3 separate regions of the Mus musculus genome follow, and regions 1 and 2 are each reported to be linked to region 3. The links are microRNA targets in miRTarBase. Many come from high-throughput screens and were not tested one by one. Region 3 holds a microRNA gene; each other region holds the end of a gene's coding sequence. Distances are between the middles of the regions.

Region 1 (3,543 bases), 27 Mb from region 3:
TTAGTAATTAGCAGCTTTCCCTCCTCATTGAGATGATGGGCAGGGCGGGGCAGATGAGCTCCAGGAGAGAGCAGACCAAGAGGAAGGACAAGGACCTTCACAGCAGGCTCTGCTAGTCTCCAGTGACTGCAGAGTCCTCTCTCACTCACTCATTAGCACTTCAACCAAAGTCCTTTGCACAAAGCACCACACCGCTCAATTACTGGGCTGCTGATACTACACGCTGCTGTAATCACAAAGTCCTCTAAGGCCGTGGACTGGCAACTAACCGACGTGACTTTAGATGCTGCCGCCCTTTTCCACATTGAAGAGGTAGAAGGTGTCTCAGCTGTCAAGTGGCTCAGTGTTAGGGGAACGAGTGTAGTTCCTTAAGCAGCTTCTCCTTGGCTCTAACTTCATTCAGGAAAATACTTTTCTAGGATTTAAGATACACTATAAAAGCAGAATATAAAAACACACTATCAAATACTCTAAGAAAATATACTACATCTTACTAAATTGAAGTTGAATATATATTTCAATAATATGGCTAAGAAAATAATTTGGAAAATAATGCTTTTCATTGTCAGATATACTATAAAAGGCAGAATACAAACATAAAATATGTTCCTGAAGCTGAATACATCTGAGTAAAAATATTTTTAAATGCTAAATTTCTCAGTGTTATGTATACTGTAAAGAGTTGAGTATTAATTTTCAGTGTCTGCATTTCTTATTCTGTAGGTCCAGGAGAAGGCGAGGTCATGGTTCCATGACACCACAATGTCGGTGACAATGTGTGTTCTATGGCAGTCTCAGCCTCAGAAAGCAGGCACCACCTGGTGGCACAGATGTGCTCCCTGCAGCCGGGAAGACCATGCCCCTGGATCTTGTTACTAAGCCCATGATGGTCTACTGCCCAGTCAGTCACACATGAGACCAAGGGCACAGCCAGAACCAATCACAGGGCCATAACACTGCAGGAGCATGGCTAACATCTGTCGACAGGTAGAACCTATGCTCTGCTCATTCAAGCCTTGTTTCATAAGAGCCTCATCTCCTGTACAACACTGTGTGCGTCTCACCTATTCCAAGGTTTAGTTTTGCCAAGTTGAATTTTGTTAGTTTCTTTTCTGTTGGAGCTGAGTAGTTATTTGCTCTTCTGTTACTTAGAATACTCACTGGGAATTACCAGGACTAGGCACTGTAACAGTACTGTATAAACAATAAATACAGAGTCCTAGACCTTCCAACCCCCACTGTTTACAAAGATGAAGGGAAGGTCATTTTTCTCAGAGTATAGTTTCAGTCACAGTGTACAAATTTCTTTTTTGGTTTTTCAAGACAGGGTTTCTCTATATAGCCCTAGCTGGCTTCGAACTCAGAAATCTGCCTGCCTCTGCCTCCCAAGTGCTGGGATAAAAGGTATGCGCTACCACACCTATTGGACCTTTAGATATAGATGTCTTTATATAGGCATTTAACACTCTCTATGGAGGCTTGGGTCTTAGCTAAAGCTTTACTGTTTTCCAGTTCTCTAGTGCACAGATCCATGGCATGGCTTTTGCTTATGAAAGTTCTGAGACTGCAACACATGTTGTCCAGGCTACCCCCTAACTAACTAGGTAGACCAGGATGGACTTGAATCCCTGTCCTGTGCTCCCCTCCCGAGGGCTGGGATTACAGGCTGTGTGTAGCACCACTCCTCACTCAGAGGCTTTAGCAATTCCTCCAGCCCCTTCTCATACTGACCTCACCACATTCCAGTTCTGACGCTTCTGACCAGCAGAAGGGTAAACTAAGAACGAAAGCTTTAAGTCTTTCTTCATAAGAATTCTGTAACAGTCAAAGGGACAAGGCAAGATGTCCCTCCAGTTACTGGACATATAAGGCTTTCCTCTTTAAGACTGTTAAAGTTTATGTAAAAGTTCACTATTATGAAAATAACAAAGAAAGCAGCTATATTTGTTATAATTTTTGTTTGTTTGTTTGTTTTACTAGAGAGTCTCCAAGCTAGCCTCAACTTGTGATCCTCCCTCCTACCTTTGGCTTCAGATGCTCATATTGCGTGGAACAGCATGCCTGCTGCACTTGGCACACTTTAGATACTAGCTGGATGCTATTCCACAATCTACACACAACCTCAAAGCGTAACTAGAAACACGGGGCTAACACTGCTACCCCACAGAAGAAAAGAATAGTTGGTAAATAACCTGCCCTGAATCATGAGGACATGTAAAAAGTTAGCATGTCCTTTCCACACTCCGCAGTCCAAATGGCTTTATAAAGTAGCAAACATTCCATGAGCGTAGAGTGGGATGAATGGCGAGTGTGCTGTGTTTTAGCAGAAGTGCAGCCTGAGGTATCACAGAGATTATGCAGTATAACGACTGACTTCTCTCCTCGGAGGGCTGGCCCGGGTGTGGGTGTGGAAAGGTTCCAACTGCTAATCTCTCGGACACACACACTGCCCTCCTCAGCTTGTCCCTGCTATGAATCCCGAGGCCTGCTTGTTTGGCTCCAGGCCACTGAGAGGCATTCCTCCTTCCTTTACATTCATGGAACTTAAGAGTTTTTCATCAACAAAAGCCTTATGATAAATTCTGAAACAAGTAGCCCCCTCCAATTTCTGGAGTTATAAGGTTTCTTTCTTGTAACACGTGTTCCATCACTTCTGGACCTAACGGGTCTTTTGAGTATGAATTCTAGCACCAATGAGAAACCCTGTATCTCGTTGTCTTCCCACATTGTTATCCACCACAGGGTTTTTAAACTGTATGGATTTTCTGATGGCAACTCATTCACTCCTCCGTCCTGTATGAATCCTCTGATGTTGGGTAAGGTGAGAGCCACGAATAAAGGCCTTCCCACATTGCTGGCACTTATAGGGCTTCTCACCGGTGTGGATTTTCTGGTGTCGACTGAGCTCTGAGCCTCGGCCGAAGGTCTTTCCACACTCTTTGCACTCATAGGGTTTCTCACCGCTGTGGCTTCTTTCATGATGTGTCAGCTCTGATCTTCGGATGAAGGCCTTCCCACACTCCTTACATTTGTGGGGTCTATCACCAGTGTGAACTTTCTGATGTCTAAAGAGCTCTGTGGTGCAAGTGAAGGACTTTCCACATTCCTTACACTTGTAGGGTTTATCGCCAGAATGGGCTCTCTGATGCCGGGCAAGTTCTGAACCACGACGGAAGCCTTTGCCACACTCCTTACACTTATAGGGCGTCTCGCCAGTGTGAACACTCTGATGGCGAAGAAGGTGTGAGTCAGAGATGAAGCCTTTCCCACACTCCTTACACTTGTGGGGCTTCTCCCCAGTGTGTGACATCTGGTGGAGAGCGAGCTGGGAGGCACAGCTATACACCTTGTCACAGTCCTTACACTCAAAGCGCCGTGCCCCAGCATGCGTGAGCAGGTGCAGGCTGAGCTGTGTGTCGTAGCGGAAGGCCTTCCCGCACTCCTTACACTTGTGAGGCTTCTCCCCAGTGTGGATGCGCTGGTGCCGGAGCAGGTGTGATGGGCGCATGAAGGCTTTCCCGCACTCCTTGCATTCAAAGCACT
Region 2 (3,543 bases), not on the chromosome of region 3:
TGTGGTAGTAACCAAGGCTGGGGGCCACTGTCATTAGAGCCCCAAATGGTATGTTTGCTGTCTTGAGTGACTAGTAATGAGCTATATGGGTGGAACTTGCAAGTTGTCAAAGAGCACCTTAAGTCTTGGAGTTGGCTCACTGAGACAATTTCTCAGGGTCTTTTATACGCAACGCTGCTTTGGCACATTCATCATGCCCCATGGCTTACTATATTTTTTATTTAGTGAGATACTGTCTTCAAATCTTTAGAAAATCAGACACTATTCAAGTTTATAGACACAAAACCATTGAATATACGTGGAATCTTTCTTGGTAACTTCCTACATTTCTAACTTCATGTGAATTTTTTTTACACAGAGGAAGCGGGATAGTGAGAGTGAAAGTGATGAGACCCCAACAGTTCCCCAGTTGAAGGAAAAGAAGAAGAAGAAGGATAAGAAGCCCAAAACTGTGCTAGAAAGTGGGGGCGAAACTGGAGATGGGGTATGTGTGAACCATGGGTGTGCCTTTGTGTCAGCTGAGTCTTTGACAGGAATTGTGCGAGAGTGGGGTTCCTACCATTGCCTTTTTTGGTGCTGCCCTGTGTTCTAGATTTGCCTTGTCTACCTTCTTGGACACAGAAGTAGGGGCACCCAGCCTTTCAGAACAGTGGATCATGGTTGAATTATGTTGCTGCTGGGTAGGGAAGGTGTATTAAGTAGATCTCTCTAAGACTTCACCGAGAAGGTCACAGGCAAAATTTGTTTAACCCCAAATGTCTTAGATTTTTGAACAGACTTGACTGTGCAATTTGTCAGATTTCTTTTGGGAACAGTAGTCATAAATGTTTTGTCAGTGGGTACATTGAACTTACTTTTACTTTCTCTTTCTTTAGGACAACGACACCACCAAAAAGAAAAAGAAGAAGAAAGTAAAAGTGGTAGAAGAGATGTCTGAATAGTTTAAGCCACTTCTGGAAGCATTATGTCCAGCTGGGAAGAAAAAGAAAAGCCTTATTGGAAAAACTTTTTGTTGAGGGAGAACAGAGGTCCCAGAGTAGAAAGTTCTGGTATACTTTTAGCTGCCACTTGTGACCTCAGTGGTTAGCTGGTGTGGCCATCTCATCCCATCCTGTCCTGTTTTAAGGATATGAGAGATAAAATCAGGCCTTTGCCACCAACCCCTCTGCTTGCTTGAGGAAGCCACACCTTTAGACATGGCATGGCCTAGTAACTATCTGCAGCTATTTACTAATGAGCATTTTCAACAATGCCATAGATAGTCCTCTCCTACTTTGCTTTTTAAAAAGTTGGTAAAAATTAAATCTGCTACATAAAATGGTATAGAACCTTCTGTGAGAGAAAAAATGTAATTGAACTATGTTCACTGGGGGACTCTTATCTCCAGTGTTCTATGAGGACTGCTCTATTCAGGTATTAACCTTGCCTGGTGGTATCTATGATATTTAGGCTAGTACTCTGTATTTTTGTGTACAACAGGATTTCTCTATATGGCTACTTGTGTTTCTTATGGAAGCCAAAGCATTCCTGTACCTTCCTATTTGTTTTCTTTTAAAGAATGGAATTGCCGGGCGTGGTGGCGCATGCCTTTAATCCCAGCACTTGGGAGGCAGAGGCAGGTGGATTTCTGAGTTCAAAGCCAGCCTGGTCTACAGAGTGAGTTCCAGGACAGTCCAGGCTATACAGAGAAACCCTGTCTCGAAAAAAAAAAAACCAAAAAAACAAAAAACAAAACAAAAAAACCAAAAAACAAAAAAAACAAAAAAAAAAACAAAAAAACAAAAAAAGAAAAAAAAAAGAATGGAATTGTTCAGAATGGAATTGTTCATTGCTGAAGAATGTAATTTGTAGTTTTTTTTTTTTTAAAAAGTATTCCTGTTAGATTTACTATGATAATCTTGGACTGGCAACAAAAGTGAGAGAATATTTTTATTAAAAGTCTGAGGTTTATGTCCTATTTTGAATTTGCTTTTCCTTTGGCTACTTTTAAATTTCCTAATTCTGAGTCTTTCTTACATTGGCACTGGGGCCTATCTGCTCTCAAGGGAGATCATTACTAATCCAGGGTTAAGAGGAAAGGGGTAGATGCATTTATATTGTACTGGGCTTGTGAAGAGGTTGGAGGTACTCCAGGTAGGAAACTGCCAGTTTTGGTGTTGACTGCAGAGGGAGCAGGGAACTTTGCTTAAATATGTGCCCAAAACCAAGAATATAAACACAAGTTTTAGGGGAAATTGTTAATAGCATAGGCAGGTATAGAATGCCCAAACAGCCCCTGCTTTTGTAACATGTTTTAAACCATTCTCTTACGACTTAACAAGTCCTAGAGAAGACGCCTTTGTGCATTGTGAATACCAGACCTATAGAGGCAGTGACAGGTAATTCCCAGAGATCTTATGTTAATGTCATTGCTTGGAAGGTTAAGATTGGGAATGGAGTTACAGGGTCACGGGTACTTTAACACAGCAGCATTTTTATTGCTTTGGAAGATTTTCCCTACAGCAGACATTCTATTGCACAGCTGTTTGATTTTGGCATTTTAGAAAGTTTTCAGAAGATATTTATTCCAGAGTAAAAAGACATTCTATAGTTGAAAGCAAAGGAGCTCAGGCTTCAGGGGGACAGTTGGTTTATCTATGTAGCATTGCATTTGGTTATTCTTATGGCAATTTTCCAGAGATCATTTTGAAATGTAGATAGTAGGAAAGCTTCACCCCTTTAGGAGCCTGAGTAAGAAAACAGCAGAGCTAAAAGTTGAAGCAACCCTTTTGGCTTAAGCAAGGGAGGGGGTGCGGGGAGGTGGCATTCCAAATGCTGGCTGAAACATGTTTGCCAATTCTGTAAGCTTAGTAAACCCAGGAGACAGGCACCCACTGTGGAGAACTGCAAGCCTGGTCAAAGGCTTCTTGCAATTTCTTAAGAGTTTCATCAACACTATTATTCACCAAAGAGAGGTCAAAGTAATGAGCATACTGACTACGGATGGCCTCAGAGTCCTTCTGCAGCTGCTGCAGGGCTTCAGTCTGCAAAGAAGAAAGCCATAGATGAAGCAGCAGTCTTTAATCACAGCAGCAAAGGGAAGATTTAAACAAGTTTACATTAACTGGTTCCCCATCTGTTTTTTTGCATGGTGGTGATCCATCCTGTGGCCTAGTATCTGCTAGGTAACCAATTAAGAATATAATGTTTGCCAAAGGGGTTGAGAACCACTTAACTATTCTAATGAATGCCAAACTAACCCTAATTACCTAGCACAGCCTTCACTAGCATTCACTTAGTTTTAGCCCTTTGTTTATGGAAAAGCCATTTTAGCAACTACTACAGCTATAATCCAAGGATAAGGGAGAAAGTTTATTGACAAGTCTCAAGCCTCTGGCTCCAATGGTCAGTTAACTACATAAAGGCAAAAGGATAGAGAAATATGTGTCATAGTGGTGGTGGGGATATTTGTAACTTTCATTACAGGGAAGTACCATAATATAGAATTCTTAGATGAAGTCACTAACTCAATGGAAACATGAGCTAAGGATATGGCCAGATATA
Region 3 (3,619 bases):
GGGGAAGGATTGTAGAAGGAGGTGACCTGGAGGGGGGCAGTGAGTAGGATGTAGGGTGAATACATTTTTAAAAATTAAATTAATTTTTTAAAAATGTTCCATTACACACACACACACACACACACACACACACACACACACACACAAGGTGTAGACTTAGGAGTCCTAAATTATTCTTGGCTATTTAATGAGCTTATGGCCAGCTTGGCGTACTTGAGCCTTGTCTCCAAAAAACAAACAAACAAACAAACAAACCCTAAACTCCAAGTCTGCAATATGCCTCTGTAGCTTTAGCCCTGCCGCCTGGAGACCTAATTTCAATCCATGGAGCTATTTAAAGATATTTAATAAATAATAATAACAACAACAATAATAATAACAAAAGAAAAACAGCCGGGCATGGTGGCACACGCCTTTAATCCCAGCATTTGGGAGGCAGAGGCAGGCGGATTTCTGAGTTCAAGGCCAGCCTGGTCTACAGAGTGAGTTCCAGGACAGCCAGGGCTACACAGAGAAACCCTGTCTTGAACCCCCTCCCCCCCAAAAAAAACATATTTAAGCATAGGAGAAAACTAACTCTATCATATTGTTCTTGGACCTTCATATTCAGTGTGGGAAAGAAAGAAAGAAAGAAAGAAAGAAAGAAAGAAAGAAAGAAAGAAAGAAAGAAAGAAAGAAAGAAAGAAAGAAAGAAAGAAAGAAAGGTAAAAAAGAGGGAGGATTTGAAACTCTGGATTTAAAAAAAATTCAAACGAAAGAATAAACTGAACCTCCCACATTCTTCCTTTATTTATTTTTATTATTATCTTAATACTGAATGTAGCCCTGCCTAGTCCCGTGCCTAGTCACCATAGTAGACCAAGCTGGCCTTGAACTAACAAAGATCCTCCAGCCTCGGCCTAGAAAACTATAGGATTAAAGGCGCTGCTTCTAGAAACAAACAAAGAAATCTGTTTCCTCTGGGGGGTGGGGGGGAGAAGAAACCAGTGAAGGTCACTCTGCCGCAGGGAAACTCAGCTCAGAGGAAGCAGGGTGGTAGAGTAAGGATTCTCCGGGGTGGGGGAGGGGTATCAGAGCCTCCCAGTCCAGGGGGCCAATGAGCCTTCAGACTATATAAGAACCTAGAGCCTCCCCCACGCCTCTCAGAGACTTCTACTCCACATCGGGAATGCTGGTCTCTGCGGTCTTCAGGGATACCTCCGGCGTGCTGCTTCTCACATAGGCAAAGGTAATATTTTTAGTTTCAGATTTTTTATTTCCTTCAGTTCTGTGGTTTTAATCTACCTGGTTTAGAGAGGCGAAAGTAGATCCAGGATTTCCAGAAGAGAGATCTTCCTGCTTCAACTTTGGAGATGACTAGCCAGGCTGGCCTTTAACTCTCATTTCTGCCTGCCTCTCTGCCTCCAGATTAAAGGTCATCACGGCCATCTTCATTCTACTTTTTAAAAACTAGAGCCCCTTTTTTAAAAGGCAGGCTAGCCGCGAACTCAGCCTTCCTCGCTCGCCCCCACGGTTTGGCTGGGTTTACTAATCCCGAGGCAGAGGCAGGCCCATCTGAGGTTGGTCTGGTCTCCAAAGAAGACATTTAGAACTAATGTGTGTGGAAAAAGAGTTGGGCTTTTTTTTCTGACTTGGTCTACATAATTTCAAGGGAGGAACGAGCCTATGTGGGGAAAGTGAGTAGTCTGGGCGCGAGTGAAGTTTGGGGACCAGAAACCAAAGCTAGGAGTTACTGAGGGCAGGTCTAGGGAGTCTATGCAGTACATTTCATTAACTACGTGGTTTCATTGTAGAAATTTTGAGTTTCACTATACCTTGAGTTAGACCGATGTACTAACTCTTCCTTGATTTCATCCAGGTTTCCTTCAGGTTGGAGTGAATTTTAAGTTCTCCACGTTCTTTCCTCCTGGTAAATGTTTTAACGTCTGGACCGCCTCATCTTGCGGTACTCAAACTATGGGGGCACTTTTTTTTTTCTTTAAAAAGTGCCGCCTAGTTTTAAGCCCCGCCGGTTGAGAAAACGGCTATCTGGCACATTTACCAGCCCTGGTGCCACGTGTTCCGGGTTAACTGCAGCGTGGTGAGTACGGATTCGAAGAAAGGAATGAGACTGAGTATAGCGAAAGGCTAGGGATGGGCATCCTGCCCAGTAGACGGTAACTGAGGTGGTCGTTGTAGGGTACCTGGGGGCTCCATGTGCGTCCTGTCGCTGCTTGGAGCTGTTACACCTATGTAGCGGCCATCAAAGTGGAGGCCCTCTCTTGAGCCTGAATGAGAAAGTGCTTCCACTTTGTGTGCCACTGCATGGGGAAAACATCATAGCTTTGCATCTGACGCATCGGTTTACAGGAGCGGACAACCTGTGTGGGGGTTTAGGCTTGGAGTTTAATGGGTCCTATCCTAAAGAGGGCGGTTCAGTTGGGTGCCACGAGACGCGGATGGATGTAAGGCAGTCGTGAGTCCAGGTGCATTGTAGATTGTTCTTAAGCTTGACCTCCAGCCTGTGATACTCAAACTGGGGGCTCTTTTGGATTTTCATCGGAAGAAAAGTGCCGCCAGGTTTTGAGTGTCACCGGTTGAGAACTCAAAACGGCTAAGAACTAAGAATTAAGTTTTAGTGGGTCATGTTTTCACTGGGGTTGCATTTCTGGGCAGGTGGGTGTCACATGTGGGTTTGAGTCCGAACACTTGGGCGCATGCGGTACTAAAGGCTTTCCGCGTTCATAAAGGAGCCGGGATCCCACATGGGCCTCGCTCGGAGGAGCTGAGCCTCAGGTCTTGGAAGTTGGAACATACAGTGTCGATCAAAGTGGAGGCCCTCTCCGCGGCTTGGCGGGAAAGTGCATCCATTTTGTTTGTCTCTGTGTGTACATGGCGTCTGAAAAGCCGGCTGCAGCTGCAACCTGGAATCGCTTACCTGCTTGAAACAGGTATGTGTGCTGGAGGTGAATTCGTTGCCACTGGCTACTCGAGCTGCAAGGCTGGAGGTGAGGAGGAAGCAGGGCAGGGTGGAAGGAGGCACTCCAGGTCCAGGGGTGGTGAGTCTAAGCCTCAGGTCTGAGTAAAGAAAGGCCTACTTTTAAATCTCACGTGGCCGCCATATTAAGTCCTCTTTCAATTTTTTTCCTTTTTCTCCAAACAGGGTTTCTCTGTAGCCCTGGCTGTCCTGGAGCTAACTCACTTGTAGACCAGCCTGGCCTCAGCTCCATCCACCTGGGATTAAAAGATCCTATATATCTTGCTTGACTACTGTAGTTGCTATATCTTGCTTGACTACTGTAGTTGGACTGATGGTTGTGAGTCTTGATATGGTTGGATTGAATTTTTAGGACCTGCTGGCTGTAGCTGACTTTAACCTGGCTCCTAGCACAAACAAGCTTGGTGGACAGCCGGGTAGATAATACCCATAATACCTTTTGGCTTTACAATAGCCCAGGCTCATGAGGGCTGGGATTACAGGTGTTACATTGTGTGCCCTAAGCATAATCTTCATGGATTCTCTTTGTTTTTCAGGTGTTCCAGTTGAGTTGAATGTAATCCTGCCTAGCCTGGGGTACTTACTTGCCTTCAACCTGCCTGGCTGGCTGGTCTGGCTAAGAACTGACTATAAAGTTTCAGG

The links. Region 3 holds the annotated microRNA mmu-miR-291a-3p (AAAGUGCUUCCACUUUGUGUGC, at 2,277-2,298, shown strand). A microRNA usually pairs through its seed, bases 2 to 8, with sites in the 3' UTR of a target mRNA and lowers its output. Matches are read on the target gene's strand: a 7mer-m8 pairs with bases 2 to 8, a 7mer-A1 pairs with bases 2 to 7 and ends in A, and an 8mer does both.
Region 1: miRTarBase lists Zfp568 as a target of mmu-miR-291a-3p. Seed matches in the 3' UTR shown: 7mer-m8 at 1,388-1,394.
Region 2: the mRNA of Dkc1 is a reported target of mmu-miR-291a-3p. Seed matches in the 3' UTR shown: 7mer-m8 at 1,598-1,604.

The regions. Positions count from the first base shown.
Region 1 is chr7:30,022,881-30,026,423 of GRCm38, reverse strand. Zfp568 (zinc finger protein 568) reads right to left here. Exons shown (of 10, transcript NM_001167872.1): 10 at 1-3,543. The coding sequence ends at 2,777. Among named protein-coding and RNA genes, the nearest start is that of Zfp14, 27 kb to the left of the region's middle.
Region 2 is chrX:75,107,821-75,111,363 of GRCm38, forward strand. It overlaps Dkc1 (dyskeratosis congenita 1, dyskerin), which reads left to right. Exons shown (of 15, transcript NM_001030307.2): 14 at 359-484; 15 at 876-1,956. The coding sequence ends at 941. Mpp1 (membrane protein, palmitoylated) reads right to left here. Exons shown (of 12, transcript NM_008621.3): 12 at 1,913-3,023. The coding sequence ends at 2,847. Among named protein-coding and RNA genes, the nearest start is that of Gm25520, 8.2 kb to the left of the region's middle.
Region 3 is chr7:3,216,692-3,220,310 of GRCm38, forward strand. Mir291a (microRNA 291a) reads left to right here and starts at 2,228; the gene lies at 2,228-2,309. It overlaps Mir290a (microRNA 290a), which reads left to right and starts at 1,935; the gene lies at 1,935-2,017. Mir290b (microRNA 290b) reads right to left here and starts at 2,004; the gene lies at 1,947-2,004. D7Ertd143e (DNA segment, Chr 7, ERATO Doi 143, expressed) reads left to right here and starts at 2,093. Exons shown (of 1, transcript NR_028425.1): 1 at 2,093-3,619. It also overlaps Mir292, Mir292b, Mir291b and a transcript of Nlrp12 not described here.